Linked DNA regions of Danio rerio. The protein of the gene in region 1 purifies or fractionates together with the protein of each later gene. This does not show direct contact. Links are inferred from orthologs where the notes say so. Each region holds a gene or a part of one and is shown in the gene's direction. Other genes may lie near its edges. The genes, in order: ctdspl2b, kpna1, pdik1l, kpna2 and stk35l.

The links.
Region 2: the proteins of ctdspl2b (region 1) and kpna1 purify together in Homo sapiens (affinity purification with mass spectrometry; 3 studies listed by BioGRID and IntAct, with this or other methods). This does not show direct contact. The link is inferred for Danio rerio from reciprocal best matches to the Homo sapiens genes CTDSPL2 and KPNA1.
Region 3: the proteins of ctdspl2b (region 1) and pdik1l purify together in Homo sapiens (affinity purification with mass spectrometry; 4 studies listed by BioGRID and IntAct, counting the BioPlex papers as one, with this or other methods). This does not show direct contact. The link is inferred for Danio rerio from reciprocal best matches to the Homo sapiens genes CTDSPL2 and PDIK1L.
Region 4: the proteins of ctdspl2b (region 1) and kpna2 purify together in Homo sapiens (affinity purification with mass spectrometry; 4 studies listed by BioGRID and IntAct, with this or other methods). This does not show direct contact. The link is inferred for Danio rerio from reciprocal best matches to the Homo sapiens genes CTDSPL2 and KPNA2.
Region 5: the proteins of ctdspl2b (region 1) and stk35l purify together in Homo sapiens (affinity purification with mass spectrometry; 3 studies listed by BioGRID and IntAct, counting the BioPlex papers as one, with this or other methods). This does not show direct contact. The link is inferred for Danio rerio from reciprocal best matches to the Homo sapiens genes CTDSPL2 and STK35.

What each region holds. Positions count from the first base shown.
Region 1 is NC_133182.1:31,420,317-31,427,258, forward strand, and holds the start of ctdspl2b (CTD small phosphatase-like protein 2-B), read left to right. Parts: upstream 1-2,682; 5' UTR 2,683-2,815; exon of another isoform or gene 2,816-2,850; intron 2,851-6,942. UniProt on the Homo sapiens protein: Probable phosphatase.
Region 2 is NC_133199.1:24,832,210-24,839,297, reverse strand, and holds the start of kpna1 (importin subunit alpha-5), read left to right. Parts: upstream 1-2,358; 5' UTR 2,359-2,530; coding exon 2,531-2,693; intron 2,694-5,148; coding exon 5,149-5,285; intron 5,286-5,847; coding exon 5,848-5,961; intron 5,962-6,048; coding exon 6,049-6,148; intron 6,149-6,238; coding exon 6,239-6,333; intron 6,334-7,004; coding exon 7,005-7,088. UniProt on the Homo sapiens protein: Functions in nuclear protein import as an adapter protein for nuclear receptor KPNB1. Binds specifically and directly to substrates containing either a simple or bipartite NLS motif.
Region 3 is NC_133194.1:16,640,815-16,647,913, forward strand, and holds the start of pdik1l (serine/threonine-protein kinase pdik1l), read left to right. Parts: upstream 1-2,653; 5' UTR 2,654-2,829; intron 2,830-7,099.
Region 4 is NC_133178.1:24,114,316-24,119,406, reverse strand, and holds part of kpna2 (importin subunit alpha-1), read left to right. Parts: intron 1-277; coding exon 278-363; intron 364-452; coding exon 453-721; intron 722-819; coding exon 820-914; intron 915-3,265; coding exon 3,266-3,529; intron 3,530-3,616; coding exon 3,617-3,850; intron 3,851-3,938; coding exon 3,939-4,121; intron 4,122-4,889; coding exon 4,890-5,039; intron 5,040-5,091.
Region 5 is NC_133181.1:41,392,189-41,399,151, forward strand, and holds the start of stk35l (serine/threonine kinase 35, like), read left to right. Parts: upstream 1-2,755; 5' UTR 2,756-2,912; coding exon 2,913-3,378; intron 3,379-6,788; coding exon 6,789-6,963.

The sequences.
Region 1 (6,942 bases):
TGAAAAGCCTTTAAAAAGGTTAACAACCTTTAATAGGTATTATTTAGTTTAAAAGTTATTTAGTTAAAAAAAATTTATTGAGCTCCCGCCTGACTGATCAGAGCGCACTGGCACGGTGTCCTAACTTTGCACGATACGCGCCGCGGCACGCAATAAAAGCTATCTTTTTGGAGTTAGTAGTTTCTGTGCCAACCGTCGGCGACAGTGATGCGTGACATTTCATTTTTAGACACCGCTTCTATTTCTGCGACATCGCGGCAGAATACGTGATTAAGTTGTGTTGCATGATTTGTGAGGACATGGTGTGAGGCACTTGACCAATCAGTGCACACAGCTGCCTCCTGACCAATCAGAGCACCCCGGGCCCGCCGACCAATCAAGAGAGTACATCAGCTATATTTATACTATACAGTCATTGTTCGAAACACCTGGTCACATGACTAAAGCGATTCAAAGCATCGCACATTTCAGAAGCGTTTTGAGACCTGGCGAATCTGCGTTTGACTGACAGAGTCAGAAAAAGTTTCTGTCTCAAATAGTCTAGTGGACCGTGCATGTGCACGATGTTAGAGTGCTTCAAATGGCTTTTAGGTTCGAATCCCGACTTGTACAAATACTCCGAAATCATGATTTTCTGTATTTTAATAATGTTACTGTTTTATGGTGTAGTTTTAATCACTGTAAAACAATAATTAATATTTTTACTGTACTGTGATGGTTGGGTTTAGGGTTTGTGTAGACGTTAATAAAATACAATTAATGGGAAATTTAATAAATAGTATAAATAATTCTTGTTAACTTCCGGCTACAACCGTGTCTGATTTAGCAACAATCCTGTTTTATGACCAAAACAAGACATATTTGTTCACAAAGTTTTCATTCAGATGTCAGACCAATGTCGAAACAAAATGATGCAAGAACAAAGCACTATTTTCTAAACAAATGTGCATGTCTGTGTTTATCATTCCATCGAATTAAACACAAATAAGACACATACAGTATACTCCGTGTATTTGAAGAAGCAGTCAATGCTTGAAATTAGGCTATGGGTCACCTTTAAACTTAAATAGGCTTTTAATAACGGATATAAATGAAAGATAAATAACAAAAGCAAAAGAGAATCTTGCAGGAGTGCTGTCTCAAATGATCAATGATTGTGTAATACCGCAACACCTTTTATTTCAAAACATTTGAGCTGGTTTCAGCGCTTAGTTCTTTAATTTTCTTTTTCATTTGTTTCATTTTTAAAAATTAACAAAAAATAAAAAAGGTAATGTAATTGTAAAAATAATGAAATATTAAGTTGGTAATATAATTCAATAATAATTTCAACTCATTAGACATGGGAGAAAAAGTAAAACACCATGTGAAAAATAAAAATATGGATTTACAGATGTTTCAGTAAAATACATATATATTTTTTTTATTCTGTAAACTATGCCATTTATTTCAATTTAAAGATAAAAATGCCATTTAAAGATGATTGTTCTTGCATAAAATAATAAGAATTTTATGTCTCGCACATGTTTAATTTCATTTAGACAACACGATGCCAATGTTTTAACCAGAAGAGCTAAACAAATCTGGATTAACTCAGATTTTTGATCACAGCAGTTTGTTATACATCATTTGCTAAGGTGAGCAATTATTAATAATAATAATGATGTCACGCAAATGACAAAGATTATTTTTAAAAATGTTAATGAACAGGGTAATACAATTTTTTTTATTTACTCAAATGAATCCAAAGGCAGTAAATCCAGAGAAACAAAGTTGTCACCTGGTCTCTTTATTTTAAATAGCTGTACATATATAACAACATCATATATGGCGTTAAAATGTACGTATTGTATCAATATGCTAACAACGTTTATGAAACGGAATGCTAACATTTTATGTAAATGTTATAAAAATACACCAGGAAAAAAAACATTTAAGCAAAATAAAAATATAACATCATAAAAGAGTGATAGTTTAATGATTAACTACTAAAGAGACCGTGAATATAGTGAAAGTCCCTGGCTTATAGATTGTATCATTTAGAGGCCACTAGTTAATTTCCCTTCTTATAAAGTATTGTATTAATGAATGCCTCCTTTTGGAATGTCCTCATAGCACGTGATGGAATCTGAAATGTAATGGTACTGAAATTCATTTAATTCAGGAATCTACACAGCCATAGTTCTTCGTAGCGGTACTATTGCCATGACAACCAAAACGTGCCTCCCTTCTCGAGTCATCATACCGCAGGCAGGCGCTCGCTCTATTTCAGTCAACTGACGGTGATGAGCTCTGCATAAATAAATCTGATATTCATGCTGGCACGCAGTTAATACTTTAGTCTGTTACTTTTGTTTTATTATTACCAACATCAAACAAATTAATCTACACTTCCCGGTTAAAAATACATCTTTGTTACCTCAGTTTCCATGCTAAATAGCCGACAGTAACTTCAGAAATGCTCTGCGCTGTGTGTTTGTTTTGGTTGTGCGTGATTCTCGCTATTGTGTTGTGAATTTTAAACAGACACTGTACGCTGAACATGTCGCACTGCGAAGCCTCGATATTGTTTTGATACTCGGAACAAGAGAAAGGGGGTGTGGGACGCGCGCCGCAGGACGCATGCTCGGCTCGCTCCTCTCTTCATCCGGGTACCTGCCGTTGACTGTGTGGGTACGGAGGCGGGAAATGGCGTCCAGAGGTGCGGGGAGGACAGAGGTGAACCTCAACTGAAGAGGCACGCAAACAACCGCAAGTGACAACAGCCCGAAAATCGACTTTTATCCCGCAACTCGATCCCCAGGAGCTTTGTGCAGTAAGTTATATTACCACTATTATGTTTTGCATGTGGTGATTGGGTTCCCCCATAATATCTCGTCCGTTCGCTCCGGTTGGAAATGTTTCGCTGTGGTTCGCCTCGCCACTGTATTCGCCCGGACAGGCAGCTGCCGTGGTTCCCGCGCTTTCTCTGTCATCATTAGAACGCTGCCGGTTGTTTTGAGTGGCGCGAGAAGCTGCTTCAAGTAATAGCGGGTCACGAGAGGCAGGTCTCCTACGGAGAGAAAGCCTGCATGTGTCCTACATTGAAGACAGACATGCACAGATGTGTCAGGACCGTTTACTGTATGTAAAAATACATCTCACGTTTTCGGCTCGTGGGCAGTGATTGTGTAAATCATTATTATTAACGTCTGACCTAAACGGGCAAATCGAGGGAAAGTTGCTCGTCTTCCGTACATAATGTGTTTGGCGTGTGTTTCCCGCCCACCGCGACACTGTGTTCAGTTTTCACAGCGACTGAACTTCATTTCTGAAGTGTCTGATGAGGTTGTTTGGTTATCTTGGTGCTGCGCTTATTGTCTTTTGTTTTCCACCTTTTGGAGTTATTGACTAGTTATTTGACTGTAGGACAGTGGTTCACAAGCATTGTCACTCCAAAGGTCCCCATTGTCAAGTCAGTATTGAAGGCCCCCGCACAGAGCCAGATTTTACAACTATATATATTTATTTTTAGAAACTGTTAATAGATAATGAAAATAGAGTAATAATCTCAAGATTTGTGTATGTTTTAAACATAGGAAGCTGGATTTAAACTACTAGGCTGTAGTATAAAAATTCAGATTTTATAACCAATATTTGATTAACTTTCTGCTCATCTATCTTATGATTTTGTAAAAGACAAAATGGTAAGTTCAACCACTTTTGGACAGCTGACCACAGTTTTCAAGTGGAGTATTGAAAAAAGCACTGTTCAAATACAATTGTCTATATGAAGGTTCAGCAATGTGCTGAAAAAAAATCAGAAAATTCCTGAACTGCAAACTACACAGCTTTAAAAAATGGGTTTTGATTAAATAATGTTAAATTGGAGTGGTTGTTTTTTTGGTCAATAATAATATCTTGTTATTATTTACATAATAATAAAATATTTTTGGTACCAAAATGTGAATGTACTAAAACAAATTAAACAACTTAAATGAATTAATGCAAGCTAAAAAAAGTCTGATAATGTAAAAATGTCGGCTAATTTTAATTTTAATGATAAATAATGATATGTAAATATTATCAAAACAACTCTAATACAGTAAAAAATCACCTTCAAAAATGCTTGTAATGTAACAGACATTTTGTTGGTTTATTGAGGCCCTGGTTTGTTTGGGTTTCCAAAGTTTTTTTAGAGAACATCTAAGTTTAAAGAAAGAAGTTGTCTGAATTTGTTTGGTGGCTTGATGCAGCTCACCTAATCAAACATTTAGGATAGTTCATTTTGTCTTGTAAACACCTTTGACCTCCCATTGGTCCATGACCATTACGCAATCAGTGGGTGTGTTCTAGAACTCTGTCTTCTTTGATCCTCAATTTATTCCCCCTGAATTGTTTCTCATTCTACAGAGGTCAAACAGAACAACAGCCAAAATGTCAACATTAGCTACTTGAATACGTAGGAGTCGAGTAGCAGAGCTGGTACAGATGTATCTACACCTGTAAGATCGCTCGCAGGGGGGATTTTTAAGATTCTGAGCGTGTCATACACCAGATGAGAAGCCCAACTCTATGCACCATGTCTTTTTTTATGTGTTTGCACTAGGCATGGGTCGGTATAAGATTATGACAGTATGGTAACCTAGGATAAAAATACCAAAGTTTCACGGTATTGTGATTACTGCTCTATAATATATTATTTTTAAATGTCTAGGTAAAAAAAACTTTTTTTTGCCGTTGAAAACTGTAAATTCTATTTTTTGAAAGATTTATGATATTTTGGAGCAGTAAACATGTCAGGCTAAATAATTAAAATGAATCATTGAATCATTCATTTGTTTCAAAAACGCTGATTTCTTTACAATTTAAAACGGCATCTTTGGAGATCTTTTTTTTACTGGAGATACAAAAGAAAAAGAGCGTTTTGAAAAACAAAAAATGTAAATAAAAAAATCTTACACATACCTTAGGGAACGGTATTACAGAAAGTTTGGCTGTAAATAAACCTTGACTTTTCCAAACTGCGGTATACCCTGACAGAGATTATTGTCCCATGCCATTCGATGTCTGTCCTTGAAAACTGTAAAGATGCAATAGGCCATGGTGTTTCTTTTCGTTGTAGAGGTGTTTATGAAACTGTTCTTTTCTCTCAGACACCATCATTGTGTTTAGAGTAAACATCCAAGTAGTGCGACACATTTACAACCACACCTACTGCAGTGTAGGGGTCTTGGAGTGTTTGAAAACAGTATACTATTACTCAGCCTTTTCAATCCTCTGTTTGCCATCAAACGAAGAACCAAAAACAATTTGTCTGAAGTAGACCTGAGCCTGACATGGATTCTAACGATATGATAACCTTGGATAAAAATATCACGGTTTCATTGTATTGTGGTTGCTGCTCTAAAATAAGTTCTTTTTAAATGTCTAGGTAAAAAACTAAAACTTTTGAGAAACATTTATAATATTTTGGAGCAGTAAACATGTCAGGCTGAATAATTTAAATCAAATATTGACTTCTGCTGTCATCATTGGTTTCAAATACTAATATCTTTTCTACTGGAGATACTCTTGTCCTTTAAAACAACAACAAAAAAAGTAATTAATAAATCTTTTATATACCATAGGAACGCTATAACAGAAAATTTTGGTGGTTTTAAAACCTTGGCTTTTCCAAACTGCGGTATACCTTGAAAATGGTTATCGTCTCATGCCTAGTCAAAAGCATACTGGGGCCTTTAGAAGTTCACCAGTTATTGCCATCAGACCAGGTTGATTTAAAAATGGCTCTGGATGAGTTGTTTGCCTGACATGCAATGGGACAGATAACTTGTAAAGTGTCTGTGAATATTTTTTAGTGGTGTTTTTTTTTTTGACATACACTGAGTGAACCCCAAATTATTCAGCATTGCATTTTCTGGTTTATAATGTGCTTTGAGTGTATAGTTGTAGATTGCACAGAGATATTAGTCATTTTAATAAATTCCAGCATCAAACTGAGAAGACACAAGTAGCTTCAGGGATCAGTTTTTGGAAAGCTATCAGTGTCCTTGAATTTACTGCTAGTCTGTCAAGGCACATTTTTATTTTACACTTACATTGTTTATTGTATAATATTTTATTTAATAGTTGCCAAAATCAGATATTTTCCTGCTGATGAGACTGTTTATGTCTGCTTGTGTGATTTTTAAACTTGGAGTTTGCCTATTAAGAAGCCTCATTGGATCTCGCTGTGTTGTTTAAGGCTGTTGAATCTCGCTCTGCTTCAGTTCTTGCTGTAGAAAGACTGTAGCTCCTCAGTGTTGTGAGGTAGCTGTCTTGGCATGATGTCTGTTCGAGGCAGTGGATGAGTCACCATTTGTGGTGGTTAAGGAAAAAGCTGAGATGTATTACCAGCTGTAGCCTTTCTCTCTCTACTTTTCACCATTCCTTCTCTTCTCTAACATGCTTCCATGCAGAAAGTCTTGTTATTCTTGCTGCTTCTCTCTAGCTAATAACACACTGCAGCCTTTGCTGGGTGAGATCATTGTTCCTGTCCTAAAATGTAAAACCAAGAAATAGACATTTCTTATCATGGTCGGTGGAATTTTTTATGTGTGTGTGTGTGTGTTTAATGTATCTTGCATGTAATTACGGAGGCATTCCGGAGGGCTTGAAAATGTACAGCATTCTTCGCATTTTGTTAGATCTACAAAAGTTACTGGGAATCTGTTTTGAAAGACTAGAAAATGTGTAAAAAGAAGCTCAGAGTGGATGTGCATGCGAGTTAGATTTCTTTATGGTGAGTTTTGGGAAGAAACGTACAGTCAAGGTTGACTTAATGCCTGTAGGGTCACAAAAGCTGGAGCACATTTGTGGTCGGTGTTACGTAAGCACACTTTCAGGAGGGGTACACATGACAGTGCTGGTAGTTAATTTCAGGATTACTTTTCCCCCCTTGATGTGCAGGGTTGTCTTTAA
Region 2 (7,088 bases), on another chromosome or scaffold:
AATGGAGTAAGTTCATAGTATTCATATAGATCAGTTTTTTAAATGAAATGGTTTGTTGCAATCGGTTTCTTCAAATTGTTTGAGTTCCCTTAACTTATTGGGTTTTACAGTGTGTGTGTGTGTGTGTGTGTGTGTGTGTGTGTGTGTGTGTGTGTGTGTGTGTGTATACATAAACTATATATATATATATATATATATATATATATATATATATATATATATAATTCTGACTTCAACTGTATATATTTTAAACTCTTTATTTTCATTGAAAAAAAAAATACATACACACAGTACCGCCTATATCCGTACAAGAAAGAGATGATCCATATCAAAAATCTCTTGGAAAGACTTTCACAGTGAATTTGGCTCACAACAAAAAGGAACTCAAAACCCTACATCCCACCCATCTAACATTGATCAAAATGTTTGTAGAAAGTTAGCAAAAAATAAAATAAAAGTCATGCATGAATAACATTTACAATCATATTATGGAACTGGCTAGGACAAAAAAATAAATACAATTGAAGCAATAGGTGTACATAGACAATTAGACCAAAAGATACATTCATTCATTTTCTTTTTGGCTTAGTCCCTATATTAATCAGGGGTCCCCACAACAGAATGAACCGCCAACTTTTCCAGCACATGTTTTAGGCAGCGGAGCACCAGGAGGAAACCCGCGCGAACACGGGGAGAACATGCAAACTCCACACAGAAAAGCCAACTGGCCTAGCTGGGGCTGGAACCAGCGACCTTTTTGCTGTGAGGCGATTACCAAAAGATAAATTCTAAAATAATTATAAGATAATTATAAAGTAAATAATGAAATTAAATAAACAAATAAATTACCATACAACAGTCTTGTAAAAGTCTATATCAGTTCAGTCTATCTAAAAAAATATTATGAATGGTTCCCAAATCTTGTTACAACTGGACAATCTGTCATTTAGTGTGAATCTCTGTTCTCCTAAGTGTAACATATTTCCAAGCTTTCTAGCCCACATTTCAAAGGTGGGGACAGTTTCAGATTTTCACATTTGTAAAATGAGTTTTTTTAAATAATATTATCTTCGTATATTACCTTTTTTATGTAAGACTTAAAAGGAGAAAAACACTGAAAGCATCATATGGTGCGGATGAAAAGATTAAATGTTGCCAGATTTTGATGGAAAAACATGCCTACAAAAACACTTATACAAAAATACAAAAACAACATTCAAAGTGACTCAATAAAAACAAAAAGAGAGTAATAAACCAACATTGTTAAATAATTTTACAAAAGGAGTGATTATGTAAGAATAAAGGAAAAGTGATATGATGATAATACATGAACAAAAGGATTTACTGTATTTATAAATTACTGTTCACATATATTTCTTTATACAAATAATAAAAATACATATGTGTATATGATGGAGGCGCAGTGGGTAGCGATGTCACCTCACAGCAAGAAGGTTCGAGGTCAGTTGGCATTTCTGTGTTGGCATATTGCTGCGTAAGTTGGCAGTTTATTCTGCTGTGGTGACCCTGATTAAGAAAGAGACTAAGCTGAAAAGAAAACGAATGAATGTGTATATGATAACAATTCATTCAGCCATGGCACATTGGCTGAGGCTAGCATGGTTGCCTCACCACAAGAAGGTTGCTTGTTTGAGTTGCTATTTCTGTGTGGCTATTTCTGTGTTTGCTCGAGTTTTCCCCAGGTGCTCCGGTTTCCCCCACAGTCCAAAGATGTAGGTGAAGTTATAGGCAAACTGAATCAACTAAATTGGCTAAATGTGTGTGAATGGGAGAGTCTGTGGTTGTTTCCCAGCATTGAGTGTTGTACTTTCAGTGCTAAGTTGCAGCTGGAAAGGCATACAGCCATCCACTGTGTAAAACAACTGAGTAAACAAATAAGTAAGATGAGATGTAGATATTCAATTTAAATTATATATGATTGGCCTATACAAAATAAATAGATAAAAATGACGTTCATATGAATAAATAAATGTACTTAATAATAATAATAAAATATTATTATTATTTTCATTCATTTATCCATTCATTTTCTTTCTGGCTTAAAAAAAAACATACTCACACTCATTCACACACACACACACTCATACACTGCGGACAACTTAACCTACCAAATTCACCTGTACCGCATGTCTTTGGACTGTGGAGGAAACTGGAGCACCTAGAGGAAACCCACGCAAACGCAGGGAGAACATGCAAACTCCACACAGAAACACCAACTGACCAAGCTGAGGCTTGAACCAGCGACCCAGCAACCTTCTTGCTGTGAGGCGAAAGCAATTATTATTATTATTAATAATCATAAAAATAATAATAATAATAGATTTATCAGGAGTCACCACAGCGAAATGAACTGCCAATTATTTTGGCATATGCTTTATGATTTGTATGAATGCTACAAAATGAGTTATGTGATATAAAAGGTATCTACATAGATAATTTATTATAAGCTATGTATTTGTTTTTAAATATATGTATATAAGCTTATAATGTTTACTTATAAAGCGCGGAGATGGCAACACTGTTCGTTACACAGAACTGGCAACACCGAGAAGCAGACATGCGCTTCGCACACGATGTCCTCTCACAATGCGCATGTGCAGTGTCACTATACCGGCGGAGGCTGAACGGTTGCAGCTTAAACGACGCAGGGATAAACGAGGCCGTTTTGACAGGTCAGTACGCCAGTGTGGATAACTTGTGTCTGTCTGGTTTTATTCCGTCTACATGATGTCAAATTCAAAAGATTATAATGTTAAAACACAGATAAAAGGCGTTAGTCGGACAACCTTGTTGGCTGGGTTAGCAGATAAGCTAACAGAGGCTGCTGCGCAGATCTGGGAGGGGGAGGCGAGTCCGCTGTTAAGACGATATTACTAACAAACCTGCTCTTCAGTCGATGATCACTAGCTCGTGTGGAGCAAAAATGACATTTTGTTAACTTGAATCGATCGTTTCCGCTTCTGTGATGCGATGATCGGTGAGATTGGTGCGTTTGGCGGCTGTTTTTAGGTGTGGATGGTTTGATGGGTCGATCCTCTTCACTGCGGGCTCTAGCACCACTGCCCAAAACACACTGACAGATCCATGCAGCCTCTGTTTTATATTGTTTTTAGTAGTTTGAGACTAAATGTCACAGGTACACTGGCTAGAGATAAATAAATAATAAATGTTATCGTCCGTGGTGGTTGTTTAGCTCAAGCTTTGCGTTTAATCCTTATCTTTTATGAAATATTTTTATCAAAAATAGTGTCAAAGCATTTAGAAATTTGCCTGACATGTTGAAAACCGTCTGATAAACAAACAAAATAAAATCATAGACTAAATTTATAAATAGAAAAAATATATATAGTTTAGAAAAAAAAAGTCTTAACAAACATTTTTACCATGATTTAAAGAAGACACCAAACTGTTTACATGCCAGAAATCATGTCAGACACATTTAAAGCAGTAGTCTTTTGACGATGTATTAGAAGACTGTATGTAAGGATAACAGTGCAGTCCTAAAATAGAAAACATTGCCACAACTACTACTAATAAATAAGAAACATAAATAGTTTGAAGATATTGGGCCAAAGCACCACTGTTGAACAGGGTAGAAATAGCTAAACCAGTGAATAATAATTAATACATATCACCATACTTCCTCAATATTGTTAATTGTTTTATGATCCATTAGGTGTCTGAAATGTTCAGGTTTCATATTAAAGCAAGGTCCTGTCGAACTCAAAATGGGCTGATGTACTTAAATTTAAACATACAATTTTGAGCACTGGTTAATTTTTGTTTCATATTATTGGCATATGCAAAAGGGATTTTGAATGTCTTATTTTATCACTCTGTTGATAAAGTATGTTTGTCAGATTTCACCATATTAGCATAAAATTTAGAAATAAAAGGTTTTGTGGGCATCTTTCAATGACATAATAAAACCCAATTTAAGGATTACAGTGAAGCAAAAAATAATAATTCATTTACATTTCAAACTTTTTTCTTTCTTTTTTACAGATTTATCAGCAAGACAATTGTAATAATTTAAAATAGAATAATGTTAGTATTAGGGCTGCACAATATATCGTTTCGATCAATATTGCAATGTGATCATTCGCAATAGTCATATCGCAGGATATGCAATGTTGTTGTAGTTTGTATTAAAATGTATCATTTGCACATGTTTTGTTTATGCCTGTGATTGTATAATGTCTTCAAAAGCATTCAGCTATAAGAAATTGCACAATTTGTGACCTTAACTACGATTATTTTTATTGAAGTTTGTTGATTGTATTAATAGATTGTTATGAATAAAAATACTCACAAGTGCATATACAGAAATGCACTGCAAATAGCACAGACCACAACAAAAATGTGTCTGGGTAGGTACCCTAAAAATGTAAAGATTGTTTATTTGATTTTATAGGGATGCAAATAGTAAAAATTAATTCATCATTAATACTCACAACACAGCACATGCAAATACAGAAATTGTTTATACAGAAACTGTTTATATGCTCTCCCACTACAGAATCATCCCAATCGATCTAACATTATAAATTCTTGACAAAAATAAAGATATTAAGTCATCTGGGAAAATTTCATTTATATGGCAAAATCAAAAAAATATTGCATTGTTAGATTTTTCCAATATTGTGCATATATATATATATATATATATATATATATATATATATATATATATATATATATATATATATATATATATTTAATTGTGAATAATATAAAAGTAATGTGAAGAAAAAGCTAAAAACTTGAAATGAAATTAAAAGAAAATTCAATGTATTTATTTTCTAAATGCATCTTATGTTCCTAATTGTGAATAGTTAATCTCTGGATAGGTTTCTCTTAAAATGTTTACTTTTCTCAATGTTATTTAACAAGGTATATTAAAATGTCATAACAGGACCTTTCAGTAAGGTTGCTGTCAGATTAGTTTTGTCACTAATGCAGGATGTAAAAATTTGTGTGTATGTGTGTCTCCACTGCCTATGGAAACAAGTGACATTAAATGATCTTTTCAAGAGGTCTGTGATCTAGCAGAGATCAAGCAAGTATTTTAATAAGTCTTGATGATTTTTCTATTGTGCTCATCTTGCTTTGATCGTCTCTTTACAGCAGACAACATCATGAGTCAAGGGAAGGACAATGCACGTCTCAAAAGCTATAAAAACAAATCGCTCAACACAGATGAGATGAGGAGGAGGAGGGAGGAAGAAGGCCTGCAACTTCGAAAACAAAAGAAAGATGAACAAGTAAGTCAAGTGGAGATAAGAGTGACTTGTTTTTCTGTTTTATTTGACTCTTGTGGTTTTACTAATAAAGATATTATTAAACTAGCCTTAAATTTATAGGAAGGATGGAATGAACTTTGAGACAATATAATGAAAAGAAATTTTTGTCTTTTTGAAAAAAAGTTTCTCACCAATCTGAATTTGTTTGATTAAAATTTATAAAAGTGTATTGTATATAGTGTAAAGTATTATATTCACTATTAACTATTACTGGGCTAGCATAAAATCATATTGTATCATATTTTTGTCATATTTAATGTTTTTAAATATTTTATTATTATTATTATTATTATTATTAGAAAAGTACATTCTACTGGACAACAATATTTCTGTTTCAATTTCATCAATTGAAGCTTTCATTTTGAAGAGTCGTGAAGATGCATGAGTGCTTGATTGTAAATAAAAAAATAAAATATATATTGAAAAATAAAATATATTTAAATAAAATTGCAAGTAAAGTGCACTCTTAAGAGAAGCTTTGGGGATAAAGTTTCAACTTTGACAAATTTGAACGTTCTTATAGCTGTTCAAGCGCAGAAATGTGGCCACAGTGGAGGAGGATGGAGCACTGGAAGATGATGGGATGTCTGACAGCGGATACCTGGAATCACAGGCCAACAATATGGACCAAATCACGGTAGTACAGCAAAAATGAAGGCTAGTCTTAGCTTTTTACTTACTGATGAAAAATTAATTGCCTTTTTTTGTTTTTCCATCGTTAAAGGGAAGTGTTATTTCTGAAGACATGATACAGATGATCTTCTCCAGCTCTCCAGAACAACAGCTCATAGGAACACAGCGCTTCAGAAAGCTCTTATCTAAAGGTGAAATACCCCAAAGACTAAAAATCAAGCATTTACATAATCAAATTAGTGCTAAATTATGCTAATTCTGTCTTTGTAACCCTCCATTAGAGCCTAATCCCCCTATTGATGAGGTTATTGCCACCCCTGGTGTCGTGGAGCGATTTGTTGAGTTCCTGAAAAGAAGAGAGAACTGCACACTACAGGTGATGGATATTTAAGGAATATTAAAATCCCAAGAGATTTTATATATTTCTTTTCTTTGGAAATATTAAAACAGTATGTTGCATCAAGAGAGAAAGACACATTATTTATGTAAGGTATTAAAAAGACAGCAGCCTAAGAAAGAAAATAAAAACTCTTTTGGAACTGTTCTGACTTTTGTTTTGTGAACTGAATCGTTTTCATTCCAAGAGCATGTAAAAAAAGTCAAAAACTCATTGCTGATGAGAAGGGGAGGTTTCATATCTTTAAATTTATGTAGAATTTATTTGATCTATTTAGAATCTCCGTGTTTATATGTTCATTATGAAGGGGCCTACTATTTTTGAAAATGCCCTGCTATATTTCATAATTCTTATTACATGTATCTGAAATAGTGTTTGCTGATTGTGAAATCTATATTCACTGAATCAAATCAAGATTTGTTTCACAAATTGAAAAAAAAAAAAACCTGCTAGACTGAAAACCCCAAGTCGCAGCAGTGAGCCAGTGAGTCATCCAGCATGAGTCTCTCCCAGCACATGCTCACACTCCTGGAATGTGTATATTCTGCAAGTCTTCTCTGAATCTTTATTTAATCCCATCAGCTCTTGAATGGTGCATTAGTGAACATTTTTGTGCAGAATGGTGACAGACGTCTTGTCTTTGTGTGCAGTTTGAAGCAGCGTGGGTTCTGACTAACATCGCCTCAGGAACATCCCACCAGACGCGTGTGGTCATCCAGGCTGGGGCAGTGCCC
Region 3 (7,099 bases), on another chromosome or scaffold:
TTATAGTAAATACATCTTTATAGTAAAAACACCCGAAAAGCATTATTCCAATAAAACAGTTGCTTTTAAGTTGTTATTTTCTGCCACTGTAACACAGAAAGGCCTTTTTCCCGCCCTTACGTTTCATGCAAAACTAGACAAGGTCGACTGTAATTGATCACTTTTCATGTCAGTCAAATCCCGGTATATTTTATATAAACATTTTAAAAATATATTATATATTTTTGATGAAATAATGACTGTTTTGGTCTAGTTTAGCAGCGAGAATAGATCCTATGTATCCGAACAAAAATCACAGATTTGCACTTTTTTTTTTCAGTTTTTCCTCCCATCCTGTAGCCTACTCGTTCCGCATTACCCCAAGGATTAAACAAGCTTATAAGACATTTAAAAAAGCAAGCGATTGCTCATTGTTTTAAATTTCTGTCCAGAGAGGTTGTGTCCATGTTTTGATCCTCGAGTCGATTGGTCTCACGCAGTCAAGTGATGCGATTTCGCAGCTAAGAGTTCACTAAGCTTGAACTTTGCGACGCAGCAACCTGTGAAACTTAACGCAGGACCCTGCATTTCCGGTCTGACGCATTCGTGTGCGCATGAATGGAACTCTATGGGAGAAAAAGCCCAGTGTGACCGCCGCTTTAATCGTTTGCTTTCCTGGGTCTCTTCATGGTCCTCGGGCGTGGGGAAAACATAGTGGCGTTGTGATTAGGCAGATTGCCTGTAAATCAAACGGCCAACATGAGGTGAAATTCGGCAAGTTTTATGCCTGCATCACACTCCCTCGTCCGAGTACACTGTGTTATTTGGCCTTCTCTTCATGAATTCCATGCAGAAAGTCTGGAACACAGCAATGCCCTTGATTGGTTTTTCAGTACCGCAATGCATTGTGGGAAGCACACTTTGCCCTTTAAAGCGGCTTAAAAATACAAATAAACAATGATGTAAACAAGGAAAATGACAGGACGTTGCTCGAAGAGCTGTGTAGAGTCTATGTTTGCAGTCTAGACGGCAGTTGAAAATGTTGCGCATCGTCGAGAATAAACAGCGCCCCTATCGGCAACATAAAACACAGTCTGCGCCTCTTTGGACCAGCGGAGGCCAAGCTGGAGCTAGTCTGCTTGTTCCCCAGGCTCTGCACAGCTAGGCAAATTACAAATTGAACCAAAACAACCTATATAAATTGACCTAAGATTGGCAAAGTGGACTTTGCATGTTCTCCCCATGTTTGCGTAGGTTTCCCCACAAATCCAAAGACAGGTGTGTGAATATGTTTGTTAGTGATGGGTTGCAGCTGGAAGTGCATCCGCTGTGTAAAACAGTGGCTGGATATTAAGCTGGCGGCTCATTCTGCTGTGGTGACCCCTCATTAATAAACGGACTAAGCCAGAAAGAAAATTGATTAATCTATCCATAAATCCCTGCATAAATAAAACAATAATTAAATACGCAAATGAATTAATAAATAAATAAATGAATAAATCCACAAATCCCGGCATTAATAAATACATAATTAATTAGTTAATAGAGCAGGCTGATAAATGATGAAATCAATTACACCAATGTTCGGGGAATAAGAAAATGCTAAACTGAAAAGATTAGAGTATGGTCTTTATGCCATCATTGGTTAATGGATAAAACAATTTTGCATTGTATTTTTTGGACTGGCATCTGAAGATTGACAGACATCCTCTTTCTGACTTCTTTTCTATATATTGCTATTTGTCCAACATTGTTGTAATTTATTTCATTATGTATTAGTCCACACTATCAGTTGTTTCTATATTTATTTATGCAGGAATTTTAAGGATTCAATAATCCTGTCTTCCAGGCATCGTATTGGCAGTGTTGACTCTATAAAAGCTCAGTGGTTAGCGTGGTCGCTTTTTTAACAAGAAGGACTTCGGTTTAAGATCTGGCGGCTGGAGACCTGCACTGTTGCACCCTGGCTTGACGCATTAAATATGCAAATGAATAAATAAATAAATAAATAAATAAATAAATCCACAAATCACGGCATAAATAAATACATAATTAATTAGTTAATAGTGCAGGCTGATAAATGATGAAACCAATTACCAGATCTCTGGATTACTGCTTTAATTTCACAATTTTCTTTTGCTTTTCATTTTATCTAATTTCTATGTTTGTCTTTTAAAGGTTGGCAGGACTGTTAGTCATTAATGACAGAATTTCAGTTTTGACGGCACTAATCTTTTTTATGAAAACTGAGGGGGCACAAAAAATGGAATATTATACACAAATTGTCTAAAAGGAATATTATACACAAATTATTTTAATACAAATCTTTTTATTCCAAAAACTCAAATGCCATACATGCGTTTTATCACTTGTAAAGCAGTAATATAATTTAATTTAGTATAGCCTTGAGGATATACTGTCATCTTTCTGAGATGACATGACTGAGACAACATTTTATATTTATAATAATTGTTAAAGGCCTAGCAGTATCTTGGCAGTAACTACCGTTACCATGGTAAAATTGCTCTGAGTGTGATGTGAATGACAGAATACGGTTGATGTGTTGTTAGAGAAAGAGAGAGGGCGGTGTTTCTCACTTTAGCTGCACTTCCCAATGTTATAAGACAGTCAAAGTGTGCGCGCTTGAGGAATCTTCGACGCGGACGCGACATACAAAAAATGCAAGTGCGCGCACGGGCACGCGCTCACGAACATACATACACACACAGCTGCGAGAAAAGAGAAAGCGAGAGTCGAGGAGTGTGTGCGGCGGCCTCGCGCTTATAATGGCTGCCAGGAAAAGCACAGCTGAGGAAAATCGGTTACATTGGGAATAGGATTCGTGCACAGGTAAATGTTTCTCGTGTTTGTGTGTGTGGTTGCAGTGGGACTCTTTGTCTGAGCATGTGTGTCGAGCTGCTGCGCAGGTGCATGTGTTGTTCCTGGGAGGCTTGGTAACGAAATCTACCTTTATTGTTAATGTCACAACAACGTATAAGCACTGTGCATATCTCCTGTCGTGTTGCGGGCTATTGCAACGTGTACTGTTAAAGCTGGACAGTGATATACAGCTGGAGAGCGGAAAACAGCGGCGCTGTGGCCGAATCGGACAAAACCAACAGGCCTTTAACACCGCAAAAGCACATGACTGCATTACAAACACAACACGCGATTGTATTCCTGCGATTTCTGCTCATGCGCTTCGTTGTTCCTAATCTAGCAGTTAAAACAGTGAGTGTGCAATGTTTCCTTTGCCCTTTGATCGCTGTTTCCTCATGTCAAGCAGCTTCCGCACACACGTGTTGGCAGCGCAGTCGCGTTTGTTTACCATTTACGCTAACGGCATTTTAAAATGTTTCAAGACCTCCTGTTCGTGAAACCCCTTTTGAAGAATCTTTTACGCTGTGTATTTGTACATGTTTGAAGCTTTTATGTTTCTGAAAACATCTCAGTAGAAATGCTAAATTCAAAATTTGAGTTTGTGGCATTATCTTTACGCTTTTTGTCCAATCAAATGGCTTTTTGAATGTAATGCCCCTCCCCCTAGATACAACTCTTCACTACATAAATGAACTTTTTAAATCATGGTTAAAGAGCGTGATCGTTCAATATGTTCCTCCCTACTTTCTTGTCAACACGGGAAAGAAAATGATACGTTACAGGGAATCTAGAAATCAAATTTATTAGTGTTTATTTTATTTGACAATGAGATGGTCCTTTAAAAAAATTTAACTTCATCATTTGAATTCTGTGTAATGTTGAGACCTAGACTGGATACTGCACGAGTAGTATTAAAAATAATAATATTTTTAGTAATAATAATAATAATAATAATAATAATAATAATAATAATAATTAATTATTATTATTATTAAATCAAGTTTTGTCTCTTATAAATTAAAAATTGACAGTAGTTAATTGTAGCAAGAGTGTGAGTTGAGATCCAGATGTTAATAGGCTATGTGCACAATTAGTGTTTTTCAAACTTGCGGTGAAAGCTTTATGTGATATACTGGGGTAAAATTAATTTACATATTTCAAAGACATGGTGCAGAAAAATATAATTTAATGCAGTGCTTCTTGTTTGGTCTGATAGCCATTTTATATCGTATCTCAACCAGGCAGTAAAGATCACAGTTTTTTTTTTCAAAGAAATCATCAAATACTGCGATTTTTGTATGGGATGACAATTAACCTGAAGCCCTGGGGCTGGCCGACTGAAATGGAAAATCTGTGTGCATATCCGTCATTGTTGAATAAAAAGTAGCAGAAATTTGTTACATTTGGGATGACAAATGAAAATCTAAGGACATTTAGTATTAAAAGTGCACATAACTAATATTTAACAGAAATGCAGTTAATTGTTGTGCTTTTCTAATTTACCTTCTTCAATAAGTTTATAATACGTTAAAGCACAGGTGTCAAACTCAGTTCCAAAAGGAACTGAGTGTAGAGGTGCAGCTCTGTGCCTGTGTGCAGAGGCGCAGCTCTGCACAGTTTAGTTCCAACCCTAATTAAACACACCTGATCAAACTAATCGAGTCCTTCAGGCTTGTTTGAAACCTACAGGTAAGTGTGTTGAAGCAGGGTTGGAACTAAACTGTGCAGGGCTTTGGCCCTCCAGGAATTGAGTTTGACACTTATGCGTTAAAGCAAAGATCTCAAACTCGATTCCTGGACGGCCACATCTCTGAACAGTTTTTTTTTTCCTGCGAGCCTCCAGGAATTGAGTTTGAGACTATTGCACTAAAGTTTTATGACTAGATCCCAGATTTCTGCCAGGGGATCTAGATCAGGGGTGTCCAAAGTGGATCCTGGTGGGCCGGGGTCCTGCAGATTTTAGCTCCAACTTGCCTCAACACAGCTGCTCGGATGTTACTAAAAAACCTAGTAAGAGCTTGATTTGCTGGTCCAGGTGTATCTGATTTGGGTTGGACACCCCTGTTCTAGATAGTATTACTACAGTAAAACTGGTAATATTTGGTGGTTTTGTGGAATGAAAAGCCTTTTAACCTGATCTTTGTTCCACAATGATGCAGCTGGTCTTCTTTTTTGCTGGGAATGACAGTGTTTTCATTTGTTGTTCTTAACTAAGCAGTATTGTGTAAGGATCATATAAATGACTTGTCTAGTGAAATTCATTCTTTTAAACTTGCACAACATTGATGAAGTAGCAATGTATTGTTAAGCTTTTATGTGCTCTAAGTAGTAGGGTTGCACAATATGGGATAATATGCGATGTTGATGACTGATGAGTATTACAATAATATTTTTATTTTTTGCTAAATATTATGTATTTAATGATCATACTAAAATTAACCGATAATAGACATTTTACTAATTTATTTGAGTCAGTTTTAGACAAAAAAAAAAATCAATGCGCAAGCATTTTGACTTTAAAAAAACAATGAACTTTAAAAAAAAAAAAAAAAAAACATGATTTCTTGTTTCAACTGGCCTACAGTTAAGCAGTTGATTTTTAGTGTTTTTAGATCCAGTCTGACAAACTCTGGGTCTGGTGAAGGCATGGACCGGTAAAAGATTGTGACGATATGATAACCATGGATAAAAAATATCATGGTTTCATGGTAATGTAAATACTGCTCTAAAATATATCATGTTTAAATGTTTGGGTAAAAAAACTAAAACTTTTTTTGCCCTTTGAACACAATTTATTTTATTTTGAGAAACATATAAAATATGTTAGAGCAGTTAACATGTCAGGTCTAAATAAATCGACTTCTGCTGTCTTCATTAGTTTCAAAGACACTGATTTATTTTAATTAATTTAAAATGACATCTTTGGAGATCTTTCTGCTGGAGATACTGTCGTCCTAAAAAGTAAATAAAATCTTACTCGTACCCTAGGAATGATATAGCAGAAAAGGCTAGCGTTTTCAAAAAACATGACTTTTCAAAACCGCTGGAGACCTTGCCTGGTTTGATGGGAGCACTTTTAGCTTAGCTTATTGAATCAGAGTAGACTCTCAGCGTTTTGATCAATGAGTTTAGATAACTTTTCTATTTCAATTTTGACACTTCTGAAGTTCCATCATTTATTCAGATCGACGAAAAAAAAGAAAGGTTGCTGTTTTCTAAGCCAATATGGCTAGGAACTTTACTCACATTCTGGTGTAATAATTAAGAAACTTTGCTGCTATATCATGGTTGTAGCAGTACAGAGCGTACACTGGAAGTAATAAATAGATAAGTATAGGTCACCTTTTCCAAATCACTTAGGGAAAGAAAAGTTTTTAAAAAGTAATCGTTGCAATGATTACTGAATTCATTTGTCTAATTTCTATTTTCATCAAATAAAAATCCTAGATTCTTTATTACTAGTTTTAAAGATAGTTTAGATATATAAAAAAAAAATCTTACATATACTTTCTTAAATGTATTTAAATGCCATCTGCATACAACGAAACAAAAAAAGAGGGTGACAGTCTATACATATAAGTCTAGATGGATGGATGGAAAACTGTAACCGCCAACTTTGATAGTAGAAAAAAAAATAAAATACTATGGAAGTCTATGGTCACATGTTTCTTCAAAATTTCTTCAGAACAGAAAAAAAAAATGGTTTTGGAACAAGTGAAGTGTGAGTAAAACATGACTGAACCTAATTTTGCGTCAACTATCCCTTTTTTTAAGGAAGTTATTGGAAACATCTTCTAGTTTGTGTTTGTTATACTAGTTTAGGTCCACTTAAGGCTCCTACACACCGGGACACTTTTCGTTTGCATTAATCGTCATTGCTTTGAGACGTTTTTCCGTATTCAAACCCAAGCGATTTTCACTAGCGTCAAGCAGAAGAGTATGCAAAAAAAAAAAACGAGCATTAGGCATTTTTTTTTTTTTTATATGACGCTTTTGTGCCTGCCGTTTTGCGCGTTGGTGTGCACGATCACATTGTCGCCATTTATTTAGTCATGAGGCGTTAAACTTCAACGGAAAACGCAAGCAAAAAACGTGTTGGTGTGCATGGGCTTTTAGTGTTCATACTGTTATTTTTAGAACGGAACCTAAATACACAAACCCCAAAACAGTTTTTTGATTCAAATTTTGTGACAGAACTTACTAAATGTCCTAATCAATACTGTATGCTGAGCTAAACTTG
Region 4 (5,091 bases), on another chromosome or scaffold:
TGGATATCCATGGCTTTGTCCTGGATGGGGGAAAATACTTTAGAAATGTATTGCAATTTTAAATCTACAGACATGTGTTGATAACGTGCTAAAATAAACCCTAAAGTGTTTTGGATTTCCTTCTGATACCCTAAAAAATGTAATATGAAAGGCCAAAGGACCAAACTTGCAATATTGAGATGTGCGTTTTTTTTTTTTTTTTCGTTTTTTTTTTTTTTGCCTGTAAGGTCTTGCCTTCAATGTTACACCTCATAAAATCTCCATTCTGTTCATACAGGCACAGCACTGGACAGTGGAGGAGATTGTAAATGGTGTGAATAGTAATAACTTGGAGACTCAAGTCCAGGCCACACAAGCTGCCAGGTAATTCCCAGTAGATTGCTTATACATGTGCAGATAGCTCTATTCATCTCAACTTGTATTTAAGCTTCATTTCTTACACTGACATGCAGGAAGTTGCTGTCAAGAGAGAGACATCCACCTATTGACCGCATAATCAGTGCTGGTCTGATTCCTAAGTTCGTGGGCTTCCTGAGCCTGGTAGACTCTCCTCCTATACAGTTTGAGGCGGCCTGGGCTCTGACCAACATTGCATCTGGAACATCTGACCAGACCAGCGCCGTGGTCCAGGGAGGGGCAATCCCAGCATTCATCAGCCTCATCTCGTCACCACATGCTCATATTAGCGAGCAGGCAGTTTGGGCTCTTGGAAACATCGCTGGTGGGTGCTAAGTAGAATATTTCAGTTAGATCCCTTAATTTTCTTTTTAATGTGGGTGTACAAATTGATTTGTTCTTTTTGTGTTTGTGTGTGTGTAGGTGATGGTTCTGGGTATAGGGATAGAGTCATTAAGCATGGTGCAATCCCCCCCCTCTTGGCTCTGCTGGCTGTTCCTGATTTGTCTGTGTTTCCTGTAAGTTATTTATATAGATGGATTTAAATTGGTTTTAAAGTTATTCTCAGATGGGTGTCCATTGTAATTTGGTAAAAATAATTTTGAGAAATGTATTTATTGCAATATTACAATCTAAGTTGGTTAAAATATTGTTGTTGTTGTTATTATTATTATTATTATTATTATTATTATTATTATACCAAATAATGTGAAGCTGATTTAGACCAATTTACAGATTGAATATCGCAAAAATTTGTCTTTTTATGACTTTTTAAGAAGTTTTAAAAATAACTATTCCTCAGATAATTAAGTATCAAAAACATTTGATAATTAGTGAGGACAACATTTGTAATTAAATAGTGAAAGGCAAATTCCGAATGTTTCAGAATTTGCGCATGAAAATGTAAGAAAACCCCAGACAAATTCATTATATTTTCATGCACAAATTCTGAAACATTTGGAATTTGCCTTTCACTATTTAATTACAATTCTTGTCCTCCGTAATTATCAAATGTTTTTGACCTGATTCTCAAGCAAATAATAAAAATTATCGGTTTAATTAGTTTTGTTCTTGTTTATTTACACTCTAAGCTTAATAGATATTATTATTATTATATTAAATTTATTATAAAGGTATACACTTAAGATTTACTTTAAACCTTGGGCTCTTTTCACAATCCATGCGCAGGGTGCAAACGCATTAGGGCATGTCAGAATCCACTTTTTCTTAAATAATGAGGGAAAAAATCCGCTTTGCGCCATGGCGCATGGTCTGAAAGGGTTCAGCTTATTTTATTAATGAGTTATAGATGTGTTTTGAGAATAAACCAATCAGAGTCTCATCTCTCATTCCCTTTAACAGTGCGTTGCATCGCACCATAGCGCATTTGCTATTTACATGACGTAAGTGGAAAAACTGAGCGTTTCACTAGCAAGAAAACAGTTAAACAGAGCATCTACAGCGCGAGAATGAGAAATGAGCCTCCTTATTAACTTTCACGTTTGTGGATAGGGAAACGTGTCATACGCACCGACATCAATTAGCCTATAAGTAATTAATTTAGTTTAAGCGCAAAGATTAGTTTTAAAACTATTTCTAAAATCTGTTCTAATTTCCAGCAAACAAATAAATGAACAATAATAACGAAGTGTGTTCAAAAACCTGAGTTATATCCTAATACACATGCTACTCCCATATGGTCTGAAACCTGACAGGTGGGCAAATCTAAGCTCGTTTTTAATTAAGCAAATATAAATATGCATATAATACTGCTAAAAATAATACATTATACATTAGCAAATTGTCATGAATGAACTGAAAAAGCCTCCCGGGATGAAGGCATGAAAGTATAGTTTTTATATTAATTTAGGCTTGAAAATAATCTTTTGTAATATTTTTAATCCTTAATATGTATTATATTTTAATTTTTCATATGTAAAGATTTTTGCGTATTGCTCTACATTTTGTGTGTATTAAGCAGTGTGTAAGCGAGGCGCACAACTAACGTGCTCTGCTGGACAATAGACCGGCTTTGTTCAGGTCTATAGAACCGACTATTATAGTTTCTCAAAATAGCAATGCACCTCAACACGCCATCTTTTTTTAGATCAGAACGCCTATGGGCGCACATATGATTGTAAAATAAAATAATTGTGTTTTTTTTTTTTTTTTTTTTTTTACAAATTTGATGACTACAAATTGCTAATTGCAACTTGTAACATTCTCCCTATAAATTTACATTTAGAAAACCTATTAATGTATTACATTTTTTTTTAATCCGTCTATAAGCTTCTACTGGTCCAGAACTCAGCTGCCCACATCATCACTAAACTCTTTTTCACCATATTACCCCCATTTTACAAAATCTGCACTGGCTTCCAATCCAACCTAGAGTCGATTATAAAATCGTCCTGCATACTTTTTAAGGCTATCCATAACCTCACACCAGCTTATTTGTCTGATCTCTTCCATATCATCACTCATTTCTGCTCCCTTAGATCCTTCTCCTCCATACACTCTGTTCCCTCTGCCAAAGCTATTTGGCTATTTGTATTTTATAATCTTCTCTTTTTTTTTTTTTTTTTTTTTTTTAAATATACTGTGGGTTTATTTTTAAATTATTGAATTGTGTATATTTGTTGTACAGTGATCATGGGTTCTTGAAAGGTGTATTGCATAAAACGTATTTAAAATTATTAGCTAAAAAAAATTAAAATAAAGGTTTTTACATGTATTATCTCTAAACCTCAAACAATGTTGTTTTTGGTGTTCAGGACTATTTGTTTTAAACTGTAGTGAGCATGCATTACCGCTAGATGGCGTGAAAGCTGTGTAGAATTACCCTGACCAGCCAGTTTTTCTTCTACAGGCTGGTTACCTGAGGAACGTCACATGGACCTTGTCAAACCTGTGCCGCAATAAGAACCCTGCACCACCTCTGGAGGCTGTGAAACAGATACTACCCACACTCATCTGCCTTCTGCAGCACAGTGACAAAGAAGTGCTTGCGGACACCTGCTGGGCCATCTCTTACCTGACCGACGGGCCCAATGATCGCATTGAGGTTGTGGTGAACGCCGGTGTGGTTCCTCGACTGGTGCAGCTACTGGCATCTGGGGAGCTGTCCATTGTGGTAAGTTGGTGGAAAGTAGTGAACTCTTGAGTTATACGTTTAAAATGGTAAATTTAATAATAACTTTTTTATTTTTTCCTGCCACAGACCCCCTCACTACGTTCTATTGGTAACATTGTCACTGGCACAGATGAACAAACGCAGGCTGTGCTGGAGGCTGGTGCTCTTCCCATGTTCCCAGCTCTGTTGCGCCACCAAAAGAGCAACATTCAGAAGGAGGCGTCCTGGACTCTCTCCAACATCACGGCTGGCAGAGACTATCAGATTCAGGAGGTCATCAATGCTGGCATTGTGCCGTACCTGGTGGAAGTTCTCAGACGAGTATGTCACCACATGAACACAATACAATACTTGTTCATGAAGTTAATTTATTTTCAACTTAATTTTTTCTCTCTCTTGCCTCATGCAGGGTGATTACAAGACCCAGAAGGAGGCTGTTTGGGCAGTGACCAATTATACCAGCGGGGGCACAGTAGAGCAAGTGGTTTACCTAGTTCAAGCCAACGTATTGGAGCCCTTGTTGAACCTGCTCTCCACTAAGGACAGCAAAACTATTCTGGTCATCTTAGATGCCATCACAAATATCTTTTTGGTATGAGTCAATTTTAAGTTGAGGGTAAATGAGTTTTATTGATCTTATTGAAACCAAGTATAGATGATTTTCATCTCGACTGCTACATCTCAAAATAAGGAGTGAATCAGATTTTATTAAATTTTTCTCTAAGAAGTTTGTCACATGTTGCCACTTGTGTGTTCAGTAGCTCTTCTGTCATGTGTGCATTTACAGACCAATTTATTTGCCCTCCTGTGAATTTTATTTATTTTTTAAAATATTTTCTAAGTGATGTTTAACAGACAAGGGCATATTTTTTATTTTTTAAATGCATCCTACTGAGGAAAAAATATAAAGGGAAGTCTTGTTTCTTTTAGTTTGACTGGAATAACAAAAAATACAATTAAACTGTTAACTGGTGAGGTTGATGTAATTGGCCCGACTACTCTAAATCTCTGGATGCTAATCTTGCAAAATGACTAGTGATAATGATGTTTTGTTCTGATATTTAGTTACAATATTATTTGGTATAATCCCCTCTGACCCACACACAGTTATGACTCACTTTGGCTTCGTTATTTCAGATTGACTGAAAGAACTGATTAATCCAATTTTCTAGTCGCATAAATTAAGGAAACATCACAAACTTTCTGTCTGTGCATTTAAAGTTTTACTTAGTAAATGCATTTACTTTGTAGTCTGAGCACATTATTTTTATTCCAATAGTCCATTAATGCAAATAGGTAGATCTGGAACATGACATTATTTTGTTGTTCCTCTGTTAATATAACTTTGTTTTGTTTTTAGGCTGGAGAGAAGATTGGTGAGGTTGAAAAGCTGTGTTTGATGATTGAGGAGTGTGGTGGCCTGGACAAAATCGAAGCTTTGCAGTCTCATGAAAATGAAATGGTTTACAAGGCCTCCCTCAACTTAATTGAAAAATATTTCTCTGGAGAGGTGGGTTGATCAAATTTTGAATCTCTAGTTGCGCATTATGCATTCTTTTTTT
Region 5 (6,963 bases), on another chromosome or scaffold:
GTCTAGATTAGATTCTCAAAAACTCTTTTTCACACATTTTCTCTGTATTTACTGGATTAATAATTGTGTATTTAGGTTTTAGTCTATAAAGGTGAACATGTATTATACACATAGAAATCACATTTTTGGAAGCAACACTATATACTGGGGGGAAATAAGTGTTCAACACGTCACCATTTTTCTCAGATAACATATTTTCTAAAGGTGCTGTTGGCTTGAAATTTTTACCAGATGTTGGTAACAACCAAAAAATTCACATAGCAAAGAAAACAATGTTAATTAATTTACTAATTAAGTAATGTGTAGTAAAATGAAATGACACAGGAAAAAAATATTGAACACAAGAAAAAATGGATGTGTAGAAAGACAGAGAAAGCCCAGACTGTAGCTGAAATCTCCCAGTAGTTATTCACCAACCCTCTGCCCTTCCTCATTGCAAATTATTGCTTTAGTCCAACATCAACATTATCAGGATGATGAAGATGAAACCAAGGTGGTCATTTCAGCAAGACAATCATCCAAATCACAACCAACCAAGGAAACTCTGAAATGATTTCAGAGAAAAAATATCAAGCTGTAGAATGGCCCAGCCAATCACCTGACTTGAATCCAATAGAAAATGCAAAATAAAGATAGACGAGATCCACAGAACCATCAAGATTTTTACACTGATGAAGTCGGTGTAAAAACTCACATCTGAACAATGCACGTGACCTCTATGAGGCATCTTTAAGCTGCATCATCAAAAAAGACTTTAATATAAGTAAATGCTGAGTAGTTCAGTACTTTCTTCTTGTGTGATTGCATTATTATTTCAGATAACTTTTTTTGTAATATCTTTATCTTTGTAATGTTTGGGTTTTTACCTAAATTTGGTTCAATTCCATGTCAACTGAAGAAAAAAAAAAAAAAAAAACTACTAACCACCCTTTCTGATTTAATGTAATAACATGAACATTTCATAAAGCTGCTTAAAATGATAATTATTGTAAAAGCATTATACAAATAACCTTGAATTGAAATAAAAAATACACAATATTATACATGTATGATATAAAAAATTATGAAAGATACAATTGACTTTAATTATAGGCTACATATTTTCATGCCAACCGTCATGGTAATGCCACCAAAAGATGATTTCTTTATACTTCAAAACAAGAATCTATTGATATATAATATTATATGATATAAAATGTATATGAATATGTCTTAAAACATGGCGCTTTTTATTATTTTAAAACTAATAAATGCCTTAAATGCTGGTTTTATTTCAATTTTGGAAGGCAGAATAAACAAAGATATGTTTTACTATAAATCATAAATAAGAAAAACTTGACAATTCTAAAATAGCCGCCTTTTTTCCAAAGCTGTAAAAGAAGAGTTCACATACAAAAACCTCTGAGTGCTGTCTTAAGTTTTCCTCTAAAATTAGCGTTTTCCTATGTTTATGTTTAGTTATTTCACTTTAAAAACAATAAAAGAAACCTATTCTTTGCTATAACAGTGAAATTACTGAACCTACATACAGGAGACTGTGAAAAAATGGTCGCTTTAGAAGAAAGTTCTGATTCACTTCAAATATATTTGATGGCAGGTGATGGGTGTTTCAGAAGCCCAGATGCTCCTCATCGTGTCCGGCCACGTGTGTGTGTGCGCGCGCGCTGAGCTGTAGAAGCACATGCTCGCTCATGCTGGAGGGACTGAACCATTCTGGACCACACCACGGGTGACAACGGTCTTCGTGTTTACGTGTATTTACGGGTTTTATGCATTGACAACCTGAAGTGAACATAAAAGGAAAGCGAGTATTAATCTACAATTAGAAATCAATGTACTGATGTACCACAGCATGTAGCCCATGCTGAGTATTGCTAGAAGGGCCAAACAGATGACGTAATTCTTTTTTTAAATTTTTATAAATACACACTTAATTTGTTTTTGATTTATTTAAATGCTATTTTTATGTAATACCTTTTTTATTTTAATATTAACAAAACATTATTTGCATAAGTAGCACAACAGTGAGATGCAAAAATATCAAGAAAATAGCAATGATGGTGATAGTAAATAATAAAGAAATATATTAATACATGTATTAAAAAAAACAATAAACAATCATAAAGTACACATAACATAGTTGTAGTGGGAAAATAATACCCTCATTAAATAAAACATTTTCTTACAGAACGTCAAAAGACAAACTTATCAGAACGTTGTCTTATTACCGACAATAAACCATTTATGACTAAATTTACACTTACACTCCTTCAGATGTGATACACATTTCACCTTGTCCAAGGTAAATAAAAAGAAAAATAGACTTCAGTTAAATATTTCCAATCCAAAATCTAAATAAATCCATTTAATTATTTAAAAAACACTTCTGCACGTGAATATTATTGCTTTTTAGAATTTGCTTGCTTCTGTTGCTCTCATTTGTATGTCACTTTGAATAGTGTCTGCTAAATGCAAAAGTGACAACTGTTTCAGTGTCATGTTACAAAACAACACTCGTAACGTTAAACACATTTTCAAAAAAAGCCTAGATGAAATTAACATGAACAAATTGTATGTATTTAAAAACACACGGTGTCTTATATTTCCTTCAGCACCAATTTAACAACACAACTCAAGCCACAAGAGGCGTTTACTTGAAACGTGTGTCTCGTGTGTCCTCGCGGGTCATCGACCCCCCCCACCGAACAGGGAAGTGGGACGATCCAGACAAGTTCTCTCAGTTCATTCAAGATTCATTCCGTTCGGACCAGATGCAGGACGGTCGCTGAATCGCCGTATGAAAACAAACCAGATGTCAGCTAATATTTAAGCGCTGCTGAACTTCCTCGAGCCCTGGAGCTATGAACGCGGAAGATATTTGCCAACGCACGCACACAACGTGAGGAGGCGCGATGAACGCAAAGGACCGAGAGCGGCGCCGGACGCGCAAAGCTGGCAAACGAGCCGAAAGCGCGAGTGTCCTGCGCTCGCTCAGCGTCGACAACATTGACGAGGAGAATGAAACAATGGCAGGCGAGCTGGACATGGGCAAACATGGCAGCCTGGAGAGGCGGATCATTGCTCCGCGGTACAGCTTGCTCCGTGAAGTTGGCAGGGGCAGCTATGGCGTTGTGTACGAAGCCATTGCCCGTAAATCAGGTGCGAAAGTGGCAGTGAAAAAGCTGCGCTGTGACGCGCCCGAGAATGTGGAGCTGGCGCTGGCCGAGTTCTGGGCTCTGACCAGCCTGGAGAAGCGCCACGAGAACGTGGTGCAGCTGGAGGAGTGTGTGCTCCAAAAAAACGGGATGGCCCAGAAAATGAGCCATGGCAATAAGCGTTCAAAGCAGTATTTGAGGCTGGTGGAGACCTCGCTGAAAGGTGAGGGGTGTTAGTTCATTCAAGCAATGCTATTTTGCAATTGTTCTAGAAGGTCAACAGTGTATGTGGGTTTTGTCATGCTCAAACAGTGTTTTTTGTCAGTGACAGCTCTCTCGCTTGGTCGAAATGACACATTGGGCATTTAAAATTGACATAACGTCGATGTATAGTGATTTAGCATTGTTATATGAGGTAAAACGAGCAAGGATCCATTGTTTGGCAGTGACTCACTTATGACACCGGACGCTTGTATCGCGCATGTCTATGTTCTACATTTAAGATTTCTTACATAAAAAGTAAACAAGGCGAAAGTCGGTCAGATTTGCCCTCCTCCCACAGCCTTTTCTCGGTTATGAAACTGAGGTTGGGAGTGGGGGAGGTGCTGGTCTTGGGGTCAAATCATGTCGACTTGTTAAAACAATGAAGGAACTTACATGACAACTGTTCACGTATTTTACACCCAAAAAGAAGACGGTGGGGATTTTCATACAGGCCAATCCGGCCTCGTTAATCCTAATGTGCTGGGATTGCCTCTTTGTTTGACTGCTTTCATATGTATGCCTGAGTCATCAACGTGATGTAGCTTTGTGTACTGAATGATATGCAAAGTGATGCTAGACGATCAACAGCTCTCAAGCAAATACAAGTCTATATTTAGTTTATGTGGATCTGAAAGTAGAAAAAGGATGGTTTATTGTTGTGTGGGTATTACACCGTGAATAGTCTTCATGTTCATATATACAGGCATGTTTATAAGAATTATCTAAATTTCTATATTAAATATATATTTTGAGAAATATACATTAATGTTTCCTTTAACTTTACGGTTATGTTAGCAAAACAACAATGTACTAAGATGGATGACGATATTGTCACAGCAATCCCTGGCCACAGATCCACAAACAAATAACAAAAATTAGCTGCTTTTTATTTGTAAGGCCACCCTATGTTCATATCAACACTAAAAATTTAGAAACACTACACATTCTGCACACATACTGTGCCGTGGCCTGCTATTTGTTGTTCAAGTTGTCATGAACTTGCACATACCTTTTGACTGAACTTGTAATACATATCATAAGTACATGACCTCACCATCATCACAAAATCACGTTTTTGTAGTTTGAATAGAGACAATAATTGCTTTGTTTTTAAGAAATTACACTTTAAAATGTGTCTTTAAAAATGTACGCTTTAGGCATTCAAAATATTTTTTGTTGTGTAAATGAAAATCCCCCCCCCCTCCCTTTATATGAAAACGGTGGCGGAAAAAGGCCTTAGTTGAAGTGAAATTGGAAGAAATTTAGCGCAAAGTTACAATGCATCTTGAGGACGATTTCATCAACAGAACAAATCAATAATCATGCATATTTCATGAACTAGTTTTACGCTGTGCTTATGGAGCCAAATCAGTCTCAAAAATAATACATTTACAAAGTTTTCATGCATCCACAACAAAATCCAATTTGTAAGTTTAAAATACGATTCAAAAATACACAAATCCAATTCGTAAATTCAAAATGCGATGAATAAATAGACAAATCCTACTCGAGAATTCAAACCACGATTCAAAAATACACAAATCCAATTCATAAATTTCAAAACGCGGTTCATAAATACACTAATCCAACTTGAGAATTAAAAATGTAATTCATAAATACACAAATCAAGTTCAATTGGCAAAAATATTTATGATTTTCTGGCTCCATGTGCTCTTGACATAGTAAAGCGAGGTAATTCGCAGACAAGCAGCCATTTTATTTTGGTGACAATATTAAAAATCTGAATTTCATATTGTTTCAGAATAATTTTGTGCTTTAACAAAAAGAGATGTGATGGTTTGATTGTGTTTTTGTTCTTGAGTATTTTTTCAATGTAAATGACAACATCAAATTACGTCATTAGAAAGTTTTGAAGTTTTACAATAAGACCTTCTTTAGATTTTGGTAATACCTGTGAGTCTCACAATATGGTTTTTATTTACAGCAGCATGTGCAGATTCAGGTAATGCTTGCTCAACAGAACCAGGAAAGGGATAAAAATAAAACCCCTGAAAGCACAGTGCAGTGTTTATTAATTACACTAAGGCATTTTGGCTTTTATCAGGGGATACAAGTCAGTATTTGCTGTTCATATGGGAGCTAGTTTGGTCCTCTGGGAAGAAACCGTAAACAGCCTCAAACTGGTTCCACACAGCAATCCAGCCTTTGAAAGTGATGACAAAGCAGGTCGTCTTTTAAATCTATTGCATTTGTTTCTGCTTCTGTTTGGTGCTTATACCCTCTCACTTTAATATATTGTTTTGACACTTAAATATGTGCAGTGTGTGATTTTTGAGTTCCTAGTTGGTAAAAGCAAGTTGGTTTACTTTACGGCCAAATTTGTAACGCCCCTTGCTGCTATTTTCAGGCATGCATGAGCAACTCTTTCTGCTTGAATATGGAAAGACCAAAACCAAGTAACAGTTTGTTGGAGTGGCATTTTATTAATGTTTTTTAAATATGCAATGGCAATACATTTTGATTACATTGGCATTATCAATTTTTATATTGGGTATGCACCTTTCAGAGTAAAAAAATAGTGGATGAACTCCTTTAACTGCAGGCACTGGTGCATTTAACTGTAGATTTTGACTACAGGTGCATTAAAATAAGATGCAGTTACTTTCATTAAATTTCAGTCATTTCCTTTGATCTCTTTATTTGTTTCAGCCAGGCTTGTGGATATTTAGGGAAATGACATTCTTATTGTAGAGAGCATTTTGTTTCACCAATATGTTCAACACTGAGTATGTTTACATGGACACCAATAAACTGATTTTAATACGATTAAGACATAGAGCATCATAATCGATCTAAACAGAAATTGAATTAAGATGTGGAGTACACCGATTTTAGTTGCATTATTAAAGTTCAGTACAAACATGTAAACACCGCTATTAAACTATTACCATTCTGTTGGATTTTCACTGCATTTTGCTACAGGATAGCATATACACACAGCTTTTTGACACTATTCTCTGCACCTACCGAGTCGGGGAAGGATCACAGACACCTGCATCGTGAAATGCGGAGGTTTTTTCCCATACGGTGTACAATATCAAATTCCACTAAAACAACTCTGTTCTAGCAGTCTATACTCTCTTCCAATATCTTGTTTGTCATAGGGGGCATGCTTGAAATGTTTCTGAATGAAAAAGGAATTGTTAAACTGCAGTTAAAGTCAACAAATGAAAAATATTAAACACCCGAAATCACACAAGAATCCAGAGGAAAGTGAGTAATTTGGTGACGCAATGATGTTAATCGAATTATGTGTTATAACGGAAGTGGAGACATGTACAAATGTAAAAACTTCAAAAGCCCTAATACTGAAGTGTATTTATCTCTGAATTTGTTTTTTATTTCCAGGTGAGCGTGTGCTGTCGTGTCCTGATGAGCCCTGCTACCTGTGGTTTGTCATGGAGTTTTGTGAAGGAGGAGATCTGAATCAGTTCATCCTGTCCCGCCAGCCTGATCCCCACACCAACGCCAGCTTCATGATGCAATTGAGCAGCGCTGTGGCGTTCCTTCACCAAAACAACAT